Linked DNA regions of Drosophila melanogaster. The protein of the gene in region 1 interacts with the protein of each later gene in a pairwise test. Each region holds a gene or a part of one and is shown on either strand. Other genes may lie near its edges. The genes, in order: Patj, CG13871 and mTTF.

Region 1 (6,212 bases):
CTGGTGGTGCTCGCATTGCTGCAAGCCTTCAGTGAGTTGTCCGTCATGGGCAGTGGTTTGGCCACACCAATGCGCACCACTCCTTTCGAAGCACCCTTCAAAGCCTGCACTGCCTGATCCAGCGAGGCGTTCTCCAGGTTAATGGAGTTCACAAACAAAAGTCGATCTCCGGGTATAAGGCGTCCGTCCAATTGAGCCACCCCTCCAGGGACCAGAGAACGGATTACAATCAGCGTATCGTTGGGATCCAACGGATCTTGATAATCCAGAATAGAGAAGCCCAGACCGCGATCGCCCTTGACCAGCTCGATAATTTGCGGTTGGGACGACCACATAGCCAATCCGGTTAGTGGCTCCAGGGAGCGCGACTTCAGCTTACTAAACGAAGCAGCGGCGGCAGCCACTGAATCTCCATCGGCCACGGAGCCCGCGGTGGCCAGACTACCATCTGATTTGGCCTTCACCAGACGATCGGTAGCAGGCAGCAGGTTCTCAAAGTTGTTGCTTAGCTTTTTCAGGGTGTCATCAGAGAATGGGAGAAGCGAGCTGTTCCTGTTGCGACCGCAAACCATGCGCACATCCAACGGCAGTTCCTTAAGTATAGCCACCACCTCCAGGTGGTTCATACCCAGCAACCGCTCGCCGTTTACCTCCAGCAATTCATCGCCAGAGCGGAGTACTCCATTCACGCCAACGGGTCCATCAGGTAAGATTGAACGAATATAGTGATGGGGTCGTACCTCGCGCCCTCCTTCTACGTCCACGGTTCCCTCCAAGGAAATCCCCAAGCCTCCGACCGCGAACTTCTTGATCTGGGCCACAATCACCTCCACATCGGAGCCCACAATCTTCTGCCATTTGCGAATAATTTCGGTTTCGGCGTCGTCGGACAGTTCCGGATCGGTGTAGTACTTGTGACGGGTGATCACCCCGCTGTTCTTGGCCTAAAACATGTTAATGCGCTATACGTTTTGCTGCTGTGTTACCCGTTAGCTAATACTCACCTCCGTTTTATCCGCCAAGGGTACAACTTCCGTGGGTATGATCTTCGTGGAGCCGTCTAGGGAGTCCCTTACTGCTACTAGTTGCTTACCCGCTCCAAAGGAGCTTAATGTGGTGGTGGTCATTGTGGTGACCGACGGCGGAGTGGTCATGAATGCTTCTGGCGCTGGTAAGGCTTCCTCTTCCAACTCGCGAGTGATGCTGCGTGATGGTGTAGTTGTGGCGGAGGACGTTGTGGCCACGGGCGTGGGCATGGGAGCCCTTGAAGGCGTTCCAGGTGCACTGGATGGAAGCTTGTCATTCGCAGCGATAGCCTGCTGCAGCTGCTCGAATTTGGGGCCCCTCAGGTAGCGTTCCAAGCGCAGGTTCACCACCTGACCAGACTTCTTAAGCAGCTCTACGGCCTGGTGGTTGGAGTAGCCTTGTAGCGACTGGCCGTCAACTTCAATGATGCGATCGTTGACCCGGATGCGACCACTCAGGTCCGCTGCTGAACCGGGCGACACGCTCTTTACGAAAATGCCAGACAGCTCTTCTTTCTCACACACATAGCCGGCAATTGTGATGCCCAGGCCGTTGGCATCCTTCTTCAGCTCCACCTGAAGCTTCTCCGTTTCAGGAAGGGCAAGCAATTCCTCTAGGTCGATGTTTGGATCAATAAGCATTGATGTCTCGCCGCGATAAACGAAACGATCGTCTTCCGTGGTGGTCTGCGGAGTGGAGGCCGTGGAGCTCTCGCCAAAGATTTCCGGATAGCCGGTAGATATGAGGTACCGCTCCAGCTCGGCAGGATCGACGAGGACGCGCGTGGGCACCACAGCAGTGCCCGGTTCCAGGGCGTACTGGGGCGTAGGCACGCTCTGCTCAACGGGACGGGCAACCACTAGGCGGACGTGGGTTCCAGACTGTCTCAGCACGGCAGCCACCTGTTCGGATACCATTTCGTGCAGGTTGACGTCTCCAATCTGGAGGATGTGGTCGCCCGAGCGCAAGCGTCCGTCCTTATCGGCCACGCCACCCGGCAGGATGGTTTTTACAATCACTCCCGAGTTGCGAGCTCCAATAATACCGAATCCGAGACCCGTGCCGTCGTTGACCAGCTCTATGGCCTGGATCTGAGCGTAGTCCGTGGCGTAGAGATCCGCCACTCCGGCTCCTTTGGAGTTCTGGCTCTGCGGGCGCGGCTCCTCGCCGACGCCTCCGGACTTATCTGGACTGCCCGGAGCCGAATGGGAGTGCGAGGAAGAGCGCTGTTCGTCAAAGTCGTACATCACCTCGCCACCATTCAGACTGAGTACAAGGTTGCCGGCCACATCGATGTCGAAGTCGTTGGGCAACATGGACGGATGCTGAGCCAGCTGGGCGTTCAGCTCGGACAACGAGTCCTGCACGTGGACGATGGTGCGGAAAACGGGATCCTGCAGAATGCCCAGAATGGTGCTAAGGCTCTCGGCCGTCTGCATTTGCAGCTTGGGGTCGTCGGACTCATCGATGCCCTTCTTCACTGCCTCGATCTGCTGAAGGGCGCTGGAAATATCCGCGCTGAGGTGCATCTTGCGTCAGTGGGCGTGGTCAGCGAGCGGTGCGCGGTGCGGTCAGTGGAGCGTGGTCCCCGTCTCTATCCCACTTCCGCTGGCGTTTCTATGGACTTCTGGGTGGGGGCGTTGTGGCGTTGGCACACTTTGTCCTAAACTGCAAAACGGGTAATTCGATTTGGGCTCTAAGTGGGACAGCTTCGGATCAGTTACTGTGCCGTTTGGATGCAGCGAGTTGTTTACCCTCTCCTATGCACTCTTTTCGGTGGCCACTTGCTCTGCTGCTGCTGCTGTAATTGATTTTTAATTATCTCTGAAATGGAATGCCAAATGCATTTTCTTTTCACAAACAGCTGATGGACAGGGTTGCCGAGCGGCTGCGTTGTGCATCGATAAGCAATCGACATAATCGGAACAGTTGCCACCTTTTCAAAATCAATTCAAATTCGACCGTTACATCTGCTAATTTAATTAAATCTAAGATTTTTGAATATAGTCTGCATGTGCTCGTATGTAATATGGCTATACGAAATAACCCAACAACATCTATCCTTTTAAACGCAAATTTTGAATTTAATTTCTCTGTACGCACAAATATCTGTGTTCCAAATACGGAAAAACAATAAGGTGTCTGCCATCAAACCATGTTACGTTCCTCCTCCTCCTCCAATTCTATTTCGAGCTTGCGGAATTCGCGGAAGAATTCGCGAGTGATATGCTTCATATGTGGAGTCAAGTACTTGGGAAAGATATCTGCAGAAGAAACAGAGAAACTATCAGAAACTATTGAAACCTCCAACAGAAAAGGAAAACCCACAATCAAATTCTATAATGAGATCCCCGAACTGCTCCACCTTCTTGTTGGCCTCCTTGATGGCCGTAACTGCATCCAAATTGCGGCACTTGGGGAGTCCCTCGAGGGGAACCACTTTGGTGTATCCCGGCTGCACTACGTCCGTAATGACCACCTTCAACTGGCGCCGGTCCAGCGTGCAAATGAAGAACGTGAAGCCGGTGAAGGCCTGGCACAGGCCAATAGACTGCCTGTAGACCAGGTCGTGTTGGTTTCTCCTCTCAAAGTCCGGATGCGGCTTGTCGGCGGCAATGAAAATAATATCACCCGGAATGGTGGCCGGATAGCGATCGCCCTCCTCCTTGAAGCAGAAGCGAGTTCCGGCCGTAGTTCCCGGGGCAATGTTCAGCTTTAAGGTGTGCTTGCGCTTCTCCAGCCGCGACTCCTTGGCGTCCACGATCTCCTGGCGCCACACGTTCATCAGCTTGACGCAGCCAGTGCGTACTTCCTCCAGCGACAGCTCGATGATCCTCTCCGTACTGGCGTCCTTGGAACGCACGCCAATGCCATGCTGGCGCGTAGCGTACAAGCTCGGTGGATTGGAGATCGCATCGATCACGTTGGCATACGGCGAGTAGCTACCGAAGACCCGCTCGTAGACCTTCATGTGGTCGCCGTCGTACTGATAGGGCGGAAAGTATCCGTTCGGCAGCATGACGCCCTCGAACAAACCCGCCTCGCCAAAGCGATCGTATATGGCCCGGTACAGATCGTTGCCCAGCACATCGAAGGCCATGTTGACGTAGGCCCACTGCCTGGGCTCGCCCATGGGTGAGAGGTGCGTGAGACGACCCTCCTGGGCCAGCGGCACAAAGTCCTGCTCGTCCTTCTTGTCGCGATGTGGGCAAAGCCGAATGGCCAGGCGGCGGTAGGCCAGAGTAATCTGCTCCTTGGTGGCGCCTCTGGGCTGATCCAGCACCGCGTAGTAGTCCAGCTCCGGCCGGTTCATTGTTTCTATTCGGAGTCGAAGCGTATAACAACTGGCAGAAGTGTTCACAGAATGTTTGACGTGTGACTGAGAATTTATTCAAATTATATACAATAACTCAACTGACGCAGGATCTGGCTATGGATGAAATATGCTTGTGGACAAATACATTAAGATTAGAGCTATGGTGTAGATGGAAACGTGGCGGCGATCAGTCAACGTCCTCGGTGCTGACGCCAGTGTAGATGGGCTCCTCCTTGGCTGCACTCTCTGATTTGGCATCGTCGGTCTTCTCCTCGCCACCGGCGACGTCATCCGAGTCATCTTCCTCCTTCTTGTCACCCTCCAAGTCAGCGGCATTGGGCACCCAGAGACCAGAGTCCACACAACGCTTCATGTGCAGCTTGGCGACGTCCACGGGCATGGCCGCAATGGTCTTCTGCAGCAGCTCTACGTCGCGGGACTCGAAACAGGCCTTTAGTTCCTGCGGAGCAAATACATGAAAAGTTAGTCAAGTAATTCCCATACAGTGAATCACTAGAACGTACATCGGGCAGGGATTCAAAGACATCGGCTGGGTCCAGACCACCAGGTCCGAGGCGCTCCTTGCGCTCCTCCTCTTCGGCCTGGGCTATCGCCTCCTGGATCTTCTCCTGCGCACGCTTCTGGATACGTCCTTTGAAACCTTCGATCTCGCTGTCGAACTGCGCGCGGTACTCGGGATGACAGTGCTGGATCTTTGAGAAGAAGGAGCTGACACAGGCGCGAGGATCCACGTCCAGCTGTTTGGCCAACTCTAGAATGTACTGCATGCAAATGCACTGATGCGCCACGTGGGCCATCAGCTCGTGCTTCTCCTCCATTTCCAGGTTGATGGACCAAATGACTAGGTAGTTGGCCGTCTCCTCGCCCACCAAGTGAAGATGCTCCTGCAGAAACCGCTTCGAATCGTCGTACTTGCGCAGCATGCCATACTGCTGGCAGAGCTTCTCGTTCTCCTTGACGAATTGCTTCATGCGCTGCTCTCGCTCTTCCTCGGACAGATTCTCATCCGGCTTGCGGCCGGCCTTCTTGTTGATTACGGTCTTCTCAAAGCCGGGCTTGCTGATGGTGTCCACGTTCCAGGGTGTTTTCTTTTCCTTCTTAATCATCTCGCTCTCGATGCGGTCCAGCTCTTTGCCCTCGGCCTCGATCTTTTCGAGCTCTTTCTGTAGGCGATACAAATTAGGGATTAAGCATTGCGATGAAAGATGGATGGCCACTTAGGATGATAGTCAATCATAAGCTTGACAATAAGAATAAATTAGATGGATTGAGAACATAGGGAACTCCCAGACCAGGCATTAGCCTAAGCAACAAGTGCGCAGTGCATTCGGTGCAATGACCCACCTTCAGGGCCTCCTCGTCGCCATCCTTCTTTGAGATCCGCTCCTTGACGTCCATGAGGCGCGCCTGGTAGCTCTGGCGCTTTTTCTTAAGCTCGTCCTTCTCGTGGTCCATCTCCGCCATGCGCTCCACGCGCGCCTGGTGCCGCCAGCGGAACAGAGAAGGCGTGTCTATGTTTGGGTGAGTGTCGTCCTCATCATCCGAAATCTAAAAGGTAGTGTGCCGATTAGGAGGACTTTTTGGGTTGGCACCCAGCAGTGGGCTCACCTCGATGTTCTTCCACTTGCTGTAGTCCACCATTTTGCTGTTTCTTTGCTTCGGATTTATATTTGAATGTAAATGCTGCAGGTTTTTGTTCTTTTTCGGCTGCTTCCTTTTTTTGGATTGCTCTGGAAATTAGTGTGACCGCAGGGCTATTGCGGAATAATACCATAATAAGCCCCGCTTACTCTGGGGCCGCGCTAGGAAATAGTAGTCATGCATGAGTGCACCAGATTGAATTGAAATA
Region 2 (6,212 bases), on another chromosome or scaffold:
AGTCAGTCACGCAATCAGTTGATTTGCTTACTTTGATTTTAGTTACTAAGCTTATCGCACTGAGTCAACTGTTGTTTATGATCTATTTTTGTGCCTAGCTCTCCCCTTAGAATGGAAAACCTTGAATTTTATGACCCACAGAGTGGAAAATTTGTCCCCAGAGATTGTATTTGTTATCACACGATTGGATGCACTTTTCAGATACTCTGGCATTCTGCAAACTGTAAACTTTCCCTAAATCGAATGCGAAAGAGCTTAGGTGCCACTCGAAATGCCAACTGGTTGCAAGCAACCAAGGTTGCCCGGGAAAAGGGCCCCTCCCCCCGTTTACGTATACTTAATATTATAAATGCTTACGCACGGGCTCAGGCTTTTGCGAGTGTCACAGACTAATTGGCATCCAATGGGATTTACACAATGTAAACAGCTTGTTTGCGAAAACAAAAGATTTAATTACAGTGAATTTTTAACATAACATAAACATAAGACTAGATAATGACAGGTGAAAAGAATACTGCTTAGAAATGTTTTCATAATTGTTTAGTTAGTGCTTCGTTAGTTAAACAAATGTCATTATTAAACTTATAATCCTTAAACTTATATGCAACTTTATTACTTCTTTGTCTGAACAGATTAAAAATATATTACATGCTACACTGTAATCCAAATCGTAGGCCTAGGGCGCCTTTGGCAGCTGTTCTTGTGATCCCATTTTTCTCGAGGCCCCACCGCCATGCGGAACAATGCCAAATGCTGTGGCGCTTTTCATTTGTTTTTGTTTACGGATTGTGCCAACCAGGCCGACTGCCACGCCCCCTGCGCCCACCATACCGCCCCATTTGGTGGGTCGTTTTATATAGCGGCCATATAGTCGAGATCTTTATAACTGCGTCGTAATGAAATTCTCGCCGTGTTTGCCGAGATGTAGACAAACATTTTTTGATGGTGCAATTTGAATTTAGTGTATTGCACCAGCCCAAGGTTATTCAAATATCTAAGAGAATGAAACTAGAAAAACAGCAATTGCAATGCGAGAAGGCAATCTGTTAAGTTTTTTTTTTTTGCTTTTCGGCTTGAAGAAAACTTAGTTCTTGAGAGTTATAAAGACTGCGCACTTTGAAAGGGAATTGGCTGATTATTTAGCTATTTTGAGTGCTTTAAGGCTACTCGAAATATGATTACTTATCTGGAGAGTAATCATAAAAAAATGAAAATTATTACCACAGACCACACTTATCTATGTTCCATAACAATTTATTTGGACCAGCAATCCTATTTTGAAAGCCAAAGAAGGAAGCAAATAAACAGTGCGACATCGATTCAGATGTCTAAGCTTCAAATAAATAAACTATCAATCGAATTCATAATTATTAATTAGCTAATGAATTCGCGACGCAAAAGAAGCTCAGGGCTGTTGTGGCAGACGATTTACGAGGCAGGCCAATAACAATTGGTCGCCAATGTTATTGGATGAGTTGTGTTTTTTATTGGATCGGAAGACAAAGTTCGGAGGTCGAGCTGACTTAAGCCTTATTGGCTTAATACGTGCGGCTTTCTCCATTGACGTCACTGGTGAAATGTGAGCGGTGTGCTGATGAAACTAGTTCAATGTCGCTGGCCCACTATGACGTCACCGTTGGCAGACATCGCTCATCCGCCACGTCGGCCCAGTCGGCCCAGTCGTCCCAGCCGGCCGGCCTTTGGAATGGGCGTAATATATGGGATCCGCTCGAGATTCGGTGTTCCTCACTCCCACTATCAACCAGCAACATCCATGACCCGATATGCCTTCCAGAAACTTCCCTGCGCCACGTGTCGCGTGTCTGGCGTGCGTGTTTGTAAACAACTGCACTGCCATGTCCTTTTTACTATCAAAACAACAGGACACCAGGGCGCAGGCGCTGGAAGGCTATGCACATTCCACACGGAACAGAGGCTGGAAGTCCTGGAAGGAGGAACGAGAACACAGAGCCCAACACTCCAGGGCGTTCAAATGTGTATACTCGATGTCCTGACTTAAATATTACTTATGATAACAAGTTAAGATAAATAAATATAAAGTTAATATATAGCTTTGTCTAAAGAAACTACCTTGACAAAATGACTGCAATAAATGTTTATATTAAATTCATAAACATTAATTCTAGAAAAGAGCACTAGGCTTTGTGTACTTTTTTTTTCCAAATATTTGTGTTTTCTTCTTCTTTTTTTACAAAAGAAATCATTCATTTATTGAAATATTACTAGTTGTTAACTGGGCCTTATATTCCGGGACGCCACTGTCGCGTTGGGGATGCCCTGCTCTTGCGCACTTTTATTGACAATTTCTTTGTTGTCTGCTCCCCGTTGGTGTTGCTTTTTGGCTCAAATTGCCTGGTTACCGCAGTCATTTGGCCAAGTGGCAAAATCAATAGAGGGAGTTGGAGATGCCAGGAAACAGAAGCCAGGAGCCCATTACCTTATTATAATTGGGAGTATTATCAATCGCAGGACGGCACACACATGAAATGAAACGCCGCCTGCCGCAGGAAATGCGTGGAAGCCAGGAGCCTCTTACTGCTTTTTACTCCAGTTGTAGGAACCGTTGTAGAAAAATAAAATCAATATTATCATTTTGGCGTGCATATTGAGGACAGTCATTGCACTTGGTTTCGCAACACTTGGTTTCCGCTTGTATTTAAGGCATTAACTAAGGATTTCGGACCCCGTTTAGCGTTTAGTTTTTGTGCCTTTTGCGTTTGAGTGTCATTTAACGATGAGTTCGCAAACTCTTGAAAACACGCCTATGACACAAAACTTTCAGGGAGATATGGGAAATCTCTGTTTTTCGCTTAACTTCACAATTTATTATAATTTAGTTTGTATTTAATATGTCCATTTATTTCGAGGATGTGCTGCACAGTTGGACGTGAAAAACTCGACTGTGGCTTACGAACTGAATGAGCACAGCATTTCCACTTTCCAGTCCGATTTCCAGTAACCTTCCAACCACTGATTCCCGTTATGCTTTGTTGCTTGAACAAGCCTTCTCCGTGTCCTTAGAAGTTCGACCTGACGTCGTCCTTTGTTGAGCAAGAAAAATATGACTGCCTTCTTTCAACAAAATATTAAAAAGATTATTTACTACCATTTAAACTCTACTTGACCACTTGAGTTCTTTGGGCAAATAATCTACCAATTCACTTTTAATGTATACTTTTTTTTTTAGAATTCTTCGCTTTAATTATAGAAGATTTTTAAAAAATTATTTAAACATAAAAACAACCAATGAGCATAACATGTCATGGAACTGATTTCGAATATAAGGAATTTTACAAACATGACTCGGCGATAATTCCAGCAAGATGTTGTGCTTATGAGAACAATGTCAACGCGGATTTTGAGCCACAGCGCAGTCCGACTTTCATTACTGGCAATGGCAATCCTGGCGAGCGTTGGACAAGCGACCGACCGATCCGAAGGAAGATCAGTACGCAGGTACTCATATGCGGATACCTCGTGGCCCAGGCGGCCGTTCGGCAGCGAGCGAAGGGACTTGGCGCCTTCGGAGCAGCGATACTTCTCCGATCCGGAACTGCTCTTCCAGCGGCTGGACGACATGGAGCAGAAATTGGGAATTCCAGAAAAAATGGCTGCTGCTGGCAAGGTGAAATCGGAACACTATCTGGTTGGTCCCACGAATGTTGCCGCCCAGATGCTCAAAGATAACTTGTACAAATTTCCGATTGATGACGGCGCCATTGGACAGGGAATGCACGATGATTGTCTGGGTAAGGAGGATGTGGATGATCCCTTCGAGTCCCTGGCCAGGATGAACTTCAATGAGCATTTGAATGAGCGTAAGTCCGATCGTGAGCTCAAGAGGGTGCTGGGTGGCTACTTAAACGACCAGCAGCTGGATGGAAAACCAGCTGTGGCAACAGCCAATTTGCTGGCCAAGGTCATTAGCTCCAAGGTCGATCAGCCCAGGAAGTCTGGGCCTTGTCGTGGCACCACGGCTCGATCCCACGGGTTCACCACAAGAAGCCCTACGACTCATCGGACGACCCTTAGTACCACAACGCGCAGTCCCACCACTTTCTGCCTTCCGGAACCCTCATCCGATCCTCCGCTCAAGCCGCTTCCCACATCTCCACCAACACCTCGTCCTCCGCCTTCCGCACCTTCGCGTCCACCAACGACGCGAAAGCCATCTGCTCAAAGGATTAAGCCCAGTAATAAGTGCCCCATATCGACGAAATCTCAAAAGCTAGGAGGTGCCAAGGTGCTGCTGGAAATCATTTTGGCCACCAAGCAGCATGCCCTATCGGTGCTCAAGAATCTCAACTACCTGGAATTGGAACTGCTAAGTCACTCAACGGACGACGATGTATCGGAGAACCACGTTAAAGAGAAAGAACCAACAACAAAGACGTCTGAACGTATCGAAAAACCCGAGCCAAGGCCACCATCCAGGGTATTTTCCTTTGGAATTCGACCAGCGAGCCAAAAAGAGAGCTTGTACGACTTGGCAGTGGCCAAGGAGGAGGAGTTGAAACTGCAGGATCGGGTGTGGGAGGAGCACCAGCAGCAGATGAAGCTAAGGAGGCCAATGAAGCCAAAGAGGTTTGAGGTTGCTCCGGCGGCTGCTGCACGCCTGGAACCTTTTCAGGAGCCTCGAAAGCCACTGAAGTCCATAAATTCCATGGAGCCTTTTACTCCTTTGGAACCAGAAACCTCCGACGACAACAGACGTATCAATCTGGAAGCCTTGAGCGTGGTAGTCAAGCCAATGTCCTCCTTTCCCAGAAAGGATTCTCTTAGCTCGTCGCCGCGAGCACAAATGAATGCTGTTCAATTGGAGGGCACAAGCGATGATGAACTGCATCCAGGCAATACATTTGAATTGAGACCAAGAAAGAAGAAAAAACACAAGTTGTACGCTATGGAAAAGCAGACACAGACTAAAAAGCTACCCATTGCAGGAGTTTTTTATTAAGTCATTTGTATAAATATTAACAGAGTTTTATTGAAACATTTATTCAACACTTAAATATATTTTAAAAATAAGAAGTTTGAATTTTGGCGCCAATACGTTAACCCTAAGACAGTGCTTGCTTATAGCTTTTCGTATTTATATGCCACTTGACGTATTTTTTGACATCCAGCCCACGGTCTCACTAGAAGGCGCCGAAAATTTTAGAAACGTCAAGCGAGAATGAACTCCCGTATTGTTGTGTTAAAAGGAACTTCGTTCGGGATCATCGGAATATTCATTTCTCAGGAAAACCCCAATAGTCTCATTTATGCAGTTTGCAGTGCATATCTTGCTGAGACTCGATTTTTATTAATTGTTTAATAGTTTGGTAAGGACAGAAAACTCACAATATCGCATTACGACACATTCTTTGTATTTGCACAAACGAAATCAAATTCTAAAATATAGATCAAAATAATTTAATTCTGCGTCTGCGCCGCCGCTTTCGTCCATCTCTTTCTCGTCTCTATTCTCTTTATTTTTTGCCCCTTGTCCGTCTTATTTTTCTAGCCCTGTGTTTGCCAATTTTATTGTGCACACTGAAAGAATAACGCGGAACAGGCGCAACTCAATGTTTGCAGAATAATTTAGACCCTTTCAACCCTTTAGACCCTATAGTTTAGAAATAGTATATTAGAAATTTCTTTTTGCCGCGTTGTTTTTTTCTGTGCATGCTTAATTGTTGCTGATTTGGGAGTGGGGGTGGCGGTGGGCGCACGCATTCCACGCCACTTGAATCATGCTCAATGGGTTAACCTCTCTCCGCCTCTCGCTCTCTTCGACAGAATCGTGGAACGATCATAATGGAAAAGCAGGAGGTCCTGGAATACGTGGCCAAGGTGGTCAGGGCCCTAATCACGTCAGCTAAGCCGCCGGTTACGCTGCGGTCCATCGTCGCAGATTACATGGAGATTGAGGGTGAGCCGATACCCTTTCGCAGGCTGGGCTACTCGAATGACCAAGAGCTGCTTAAGGATTCGAATCAATTCAACTTTCACCAAAGCGGTAATCAGGTAAGTGCCATCTCCGTCCTTCCAATTGTTACGCCTGTTGCCTAAATTGTTGGCAAGATTCTTTGCGAATTATTGCATATCGCAAATGTCAGGGAGTGAGCGGCTCTCTTCCACCCACTTTAACCGCTTTCTTTTGCCCACTTCGCCTGAGCTTGCTCTCTGGGTGCCTCTCTCACGTGCGC
Region 3 (6,212 bases), on another chromosome or scaffold:
ACAATGCCGATTGCTCTGCTCCCATATTTTTGACTCAAATACTGAAGTGTCCCGAATTACAATGACATTTGGATTTGACAACCACAGATTGGTGAATTTTAAAAGTGTTCCCATTTGGAAAAAAGTGTAACGACACTTGATGTGGTTGTATGTTATGTTATAGGGGATACTTAAAAGTAGTAGCTTTATAATATTAAAAGTAAAGAGCATTTCAAAGTGCAGTCAGCAAATATGAAAACAATTTAAATTTAGGATAGTTTTTGAAATCTAAAGAAGAAACCCAAAAAGAATATTGAACCTGAACTATATTTAATTGACTAAACGACCGGAAACGATTTTAAACCAATTCAGATAGTTGACCTATAAGCCAAATGCTTTCCATTCAACAGCGAATTCTGATTTGCAAGTTTCTCCTTCTAATCAATACGCATTGCTAATTGGCGTGCCATTTGATTTGTGGATCTAAGTAAACACTTAGTCACTGTTTATGTCGCTTCACAAATGAAGCGTTAAAAATTCAATTTGCAAGCTCAGCTTTCGGAGCTTTCGAATTTGGCCAACTTGCTGGTATGGCAGTATAAGCTCGGCTTACAAAGTTGTCTTTGCAAAAGCTACTTCACTACTTTTGATCAGTTTTTTGGTATAAATAGGAAGTTGTTTTAGAATTTTCAGCTCATTTCAAGTTTTTCTTTTCTGCCGCTTGTGTGTGTGTATTTCTGATCGGTAGGTTTAAATGATTAAGCAATTAGTTTACTTGGCCTAAACGATTTTCAAAGTTCAGTTGATTTTTTGTGAAACAGTTGTAAAGGTTTAAAAACTTAAAGGATTTGTACTCTTCCTTTTTTTCGGGTTTTAAAGTGACTAAGCTTAATTTAGAATACATATTCTAATATGATCATTAAAAAAAAAACCTTTTCGGAAATGACATAGATAGTTTCGGTATGAATGCGAATTTCAAGCTTCAGCAGTTCTGTCCCACCAACTTGATAATAATAATATTTTCCAAGCCATTATAAATGTTGGCTAATTGAGGCCTATGGCCATAGCTCAGCGTAATGACATTAAACAACCATGTATTGAGATTTTATCTAAACAAATCGCCCAACCGGTTGGACAAAGGCCCATAAATACATAAATATACGGCTAAAAGTCGCAGAGGGAAAGAAATAAAGAAGCAAAACTTGGCTCCGACACTAACATGTCCAATATTGAACTTTAGCATATTGCAAGACAAATGGAAACTTGGCTTACGGGCCGGTCTTGACAAGGTCTTTTCGAATCCATGGCGACCCAAGTGGAGGAGGCCGACGATCAATCAGATCGGTACTTCGAACTCCACAAGCCTCCAATCCACCTTGAACCTGAGAATTCGATTTGAGGAAGTACTTAGGCTGTTGTCTTCAATTGTCACTTGTCATTTCTAGGCGATTTTTATCGCACGGTAAAAAAAAGAGTTACTCTTCTATGGAAATGTACTGCAAACTGGTTTGGCTTTAAACAGTTTTCGTTTACGTCCGAAAAACCAGTTTGATGATTTTTTAAAAATTGGTTTAATCAACATGCATCTTGGCCAATTTCAATATTGAACAAAGCTTTTGTCTGCGCCTTCTTAATTCTGCGAATCTGAAGATTTACGAGCCGATCGTGATTGAAATGTTAAGTTCACTTCGAGTGGTTTCCCGTAAATAATTAAAATGTTTTGATTGACATTTTTTTTCGGCACTAATACTGGTTATTACAAATCAGACAGTAACACTGCAGCCTAATCCACAAATCTTGTAGAATCACAGACTGTCAACAGTCAAGGCTGCAGAGAAATATACCCATTATGGCGACAACTGGGACCGAACAAACTGCATAATAAACGTTGGCGTTGACAAACTGCATAATTGGAGCTAGTTTTCAATATATTTGCGCCTGCCCACGTATACAAGTGTAAACTTTGAAAAGGAAAAAAAAAAAACTAAATAAATAAAAAACTTAAGCAAAGTCAAACTGGCCAAGGCCAGTGAAAAAAGTCTCACTTGAGTGGAAATGTTAATTAATTAATTTATGAAAAACTAGTTAACGCAATTAAGCAGCATGCACGAATCTAAAAATGTTAAACAATGACCGGCAGTAAATATATTTTAATATGTAATTGGATTCAACTTGAAAGCACTAGAAGTTGAAAGTAGAAACATTGACAAGTACTTGTGTCATTAAAACTTGTTCTGCTTAAGCATATTCGGTTATGGAAAATGGAAGGATTTCGCACACTCACTTGGTGCGCTTCGTCACTACGTGGACTGTTCTTCACAGTGATGTAGCATAATTAAGCCAACCAACTGGATTTTAATCGTTACTAAAGCGATGTTTCCAACTCATGTGATATTATTTTTAATTTTCCCTTAAACAGATATGTTCCGTTTGTTGGTTCTTGCGGCCTGCCTGGCCATCAGTGTCCACGCCTACTCCGATGGTGCTCCAAAGGTATGAACCTGCCCCATCGAAATACATGACGGATAGATTCCTTATATTCCCATCTTCATTATCCCAAAGGCCGCCTGTCGTGACCTGACGCCCCAGCACGGAGCCAAGCTGCAGGTGACCAAGCCGCCGTACAGCATCTCCGGACCCTCCCATGTGCGCTCGGATCAAAAGCTGACCCTGACGCTGGGCGGCGATGAGTTCCTTGGCTTCATGATCCAGGCACGCGATGGCCAGAACCGCGTCGTCGGCCAGTTCCAGGTGGTGGACTCCGTGCACTCGCAGACCTTGGACTGCTCCGGCAAGGACGACACCATCACCCATCTGAGTGCGCAAAAGGGCAAGCCGCTGACCGGCATCACCTTCGACTGGATTCCGCCAGCAGGCTACAAGGGCAACGTCAAGTTCATGGCCACCGTGGTGCAGACCGGATTCGTTTACTGGGTGGGTCGCGTCACAAAAGACATCGATGTGGAGTAGTGCTTGTGATAGATGTTTTCATGATTTGTTCAAAATCCTACAAGTCTTTGTTTAGCGTTAATGTTCCGATTAGCTTTGGAGCGTAGTATTTTTGAAAATAAAATCAAAAAGTTCGTTGATAAAATGGGAGTGATTTCAATTGTGGGACTCTCTGTCTAAGAATGCTTAGTAGATTTGAAAATAAATATTGGAAGTGTTTCACACTTATATTTAAAAAGTGTATGTGTATGTTATTGTGTATGAACCAGCACACTTCCTAAACATATTATGAAATCAATTGCACCTAGAAAAGTTATTATATTTTCCTAGAAAACAAATGCTAAATTTATTAAATTGCTGTTCCGAATAACGGTCATTATTTTCAAAACCGATAACGATAATTGTTTGAGTGTCGTATACTCCAGCTTTCAGTTGGCCCACTTGGTCAGCTGTTTATCGCCGCAACATATCAGCTGTTTTCCGCTTGTTTTATAAGTTGAAGAACTTTATTTTCTGTCTTGATTCTGTAAATTAAGCAAATTCGGGATGATTAGAAGCCTTCTGCGCAGCTTTGAGACGGCACTCAAGCTGCATGCCGGCTTAAATATGCACCCAATGCACTGCAGCAGGCGCCTACTCTTCTCGCAGTACGAAAACCGCGCCAGTCCGAGCAGACTGACCTCCAGTGGCACTTTAGGTAGCAACGAGGCGGAAAACGATTATGTGCCTTATCGCCAGGATCGGGAGACTGGAACCAAGACGCGGGTGCTCCTCGAAGCTCTGCGGGAACGTTTTCGCTTCACGGACGCTGAGCTCCAAAAGATAATCAGCGACGAGCTGGTGCACCGCTGCTACCGCGGTAGATCACTGACTCTGGTCATGGACACACTGCAGCTAGAGGGCGTTAGCAGGCGCAGCTTCGTGGAGTATCCTTGGCTACTGTCGCTGGACAATAGTAAGCTCATTTGCTTTATATCCTTTATGTGATTAAATCATCGGTTATTTGTTTATCTATTCAGAACGCTTGGAGCTAAAGATGCAGCTACTCAAGTCAATGGACTTTAAGGACATCAATCATTTTGTGCCTTTCCTGCGCCTCACTGTTCCACGTCTTCGAAAACTGGTGGGTGCTCTGAACTCTGAGAGGGATGCAATGCCACAGCGAAATCGTGTCTACTATATCAGCGAAAAGCTGGATGTCAGCCCCGATATTGTGAGCAAATATCTATCGAAGAGGCTGTTTATCCTGGAAATGCCGTTCGAGATGTTCGAAAAGAACCTGCAGCACATGATCGACTACAATGTGTCGCCAATAAACGTACTCAAGGATCTATGGGCCTTTCGCTATACTCCAAAGTCTGTTCAGTTGCGTTTGGAGCGCGCCAAGCGGGCGAAAAAGGACAAGATCATGCCGTGGATGGTGCGCTGCCCGGAGCCAATACTGCAGCGCTCCCTGAAGCTTTCTCTCGACGAACTGAAGGTTTTGGGAGAGTTCTCCTCCGTGGTGGAATACTTAGCGCATCGTCTTGGTTTCAGCACCAGTGAAGCCAAGGCAATCATGGACAAACATCCGCAGGTGCACACCGTGCGAGTTACCAAGGTAAGTCACAATGGGTTAACTCAAACAATCATAAGCTATACAATTTTGCCTTCAGATCAAAGAGGTGCTAGACTACCTACTCGATGAGGCCCAGTTTACCAGATTTGAGGTCGCTCAAAATCCTCGAATTCTATGCCACAGCCTGAAAACCACAAAGGAGCGCATGGAAGAACTGAAATCGCACGGTTGTCGACCCTCCTCTCTTGTAATTCTTTGCCGCAGCCGGAGGGAGTACGATAAGTTTTTGCAGAACTGGATAAGCCATGAAAGAAATCCGCAAAGTGTATCAGAAGGATGATGAACTGACGAATGACCTGATGCCATCACCGTGAAAGCTTAAAAAGTTGTTGTAAAGTTAAGATACTTTTTTCAAAAGTTTTGCCACGAAATTGAACACGATTAAAAGCCAATATTCAAAAAACGTTATTAATTACGACCAGGGGACCGCTGTTATGATGGTATCTTCATTTTTAAAGGACCCTTAACAAGTAAGGTTTCCATAATATTGTAAGGAAACCAATCAGGGAACCTTTTCGATTTCAATAGGTTTTTTAACCACCAGTCGGATTACTCGTCCTGCGGACAGAAAGTTTAGTTTGTTTAGTTTGGACGACTCTCTGCAGTCATTCTACCACTTCGGATGGCTTAATCAGTTGGAAATTTTCTTTCAACATTTATAAACGCAGAACAAACCAAATTGCAAACTTAGTTAATTAGAAAATTCCAGAAATGTTATTGCCCCTCCACATTTTCACCGTTAGCGATAAAAATTTCTTGAAAGCAAAAGGCAGCTAAATTATTTATGATGTTTATATTTAGCGAATGAAGTATTTTTCAATATTTTGATTGCTTTACAAGAATAGAGAATATTCTATATCTAGATACATAAACTATTACTGAGGTTCAAATAGAATATTGCTAACTGAGTTGTGTATAAAAGACTGGTTACTTTGGACGTGAAGCCACTGCAATTCAAAGTATCATACAAACTGGTCAAGATGTTCATCCAAAGCTTCCTGTTGCTATTGGCGCTCAATTCCCTGTCCGCAGGACCAGTAATCCGGCCGGAAGAACGCATTATCGGTGGACAACCCATTGGAATCGAGGAGGCACCATGGCAGGTGTCCATACAACGTGATGGCAAACATTTATGCGGTGGCTCCATTTACAGCGCAGATATCATCATTACTGCGGCCCATTGCGTCCAGGGCCAGGGATATCAAGTTCGGGCAGGATCCGCCTTGAAGAACTCCAATGGAAGTGTTGTCGATGTGGCCGCTATAAGGACGCATGAGGGATTAGGAAACGACATCGCCATCGTGCGGCTAAGTAAGCCACTTGAGTTCACAAACCAAGTTCAGCCCATTCCATTGGCCAAGACAAATCCCCCGCCTGGATCGATTGCCTTCGTCTCTGGCTGGGGAAGTTCTTCTTATTACTCACATCCCATCGATCTTCAAGGAGTAAACCTTTACATTCAATGGCCGTACTATTGTGGATTAACTGAACCGTCAAGAATATGCGCCGGATCTTTTGGAAGGGCGGCTTGTAAAGGAGACTCTGGTGGACCGTTGGTGTTTGACCAACAACTTGTGGGTGTTGTATCCGGGGGTACAAAGGATTGCACGTATAGTTCAATCTACACTAGTGTCCCATATTTCCGTGAATGGATCTTAAATGCTAT

Evidence for each region.
Region 2: the proteins of Patj (region 1) and CG13871 interact in a two-hybrid assay, tested with the Drosophila melanogaster proteins (one large-scale study listed by BioGRID).
Region 3: the proteins of Patj (region 1) and mTTF interact in a two-hybrid assay, tested with the Drosophila melanogaster proteins (one large-scale study listed by BioGRID).

The regions. Positions count from the first base shown.
Region 1 is NT_037436.4:1,795,492-1,801,703, reverse strand, and holds the start of Patj (patj), read right to left. Parts: upstream 2,902-6,212; 5' UTR 2,781-2,901; exon of another isoform or gene 2,751-2,780; intron 2,723-2,750; exon of another isoform or gene 2,695-2,722; 5' UTR 2,556-2,694; coding exon 1,005-2,555; intron 945-1,004; coding exon 1-944. Other genes in the region: CG12020 (uncharacterized protein), read right to left, coding at 3,175-3,290, 3,355-4,339; Cdc37 (cell division cycle 37), read right to left, coding at 4,530-4,802, 4,867-5,526, 5,708-5,911, 5,972-6,004. UniProt on the Drosophila melanogaster protein: Involved in cell polarity establishment. Probably participates in the assembly, positioning and maintenance of adherens junctions via its interaction with the SAC complex.
Region 2 is NT_033778.4:20,313,993-20,320,204, forward strand, and holds CG13871 (uncharacterized protein), read left to right. Parts: upstream 1-3,330; 5' UTR 3,331-3,415; coding exon 3,416-4,978; 3' UTR 4,979-5,047; downstream 5,048-6,212. Other genes in the region: tapas, read left to right, coding at 5,821-6,030.
Region 3 is NT_033779.5:14,345,969-14,352,180, reverse strand, and holds mTTF (mitochondrial transcription termination factor), read left to right. Parts: upstream 1-3,390; 5' UTR 3,391-3,474; coding exon 3,475-3,883; intron 3,884-3,947; coding exon 3,948-4,528; intron 4,529-4,583; coding exon 4,584-4,826; 3' UTR 4,827-4,942; downstream 4,943-6,212. Other genes in the region: CG43052 (uncharacterized protein), read right to left, coding at 1-25; l(2)34Fc (lethal (2) 34Fc), read left to right, coding at 2,401-2,472, 2,542-2,949; Send2 (spermathecal endopeptidase 2), read left to right, coding at 5,527-6,212. UniProt on the Drosophila melanogaster protein: Transcription termination factor. Binds promoter DNA and regulates mitochondrial replication and transcription.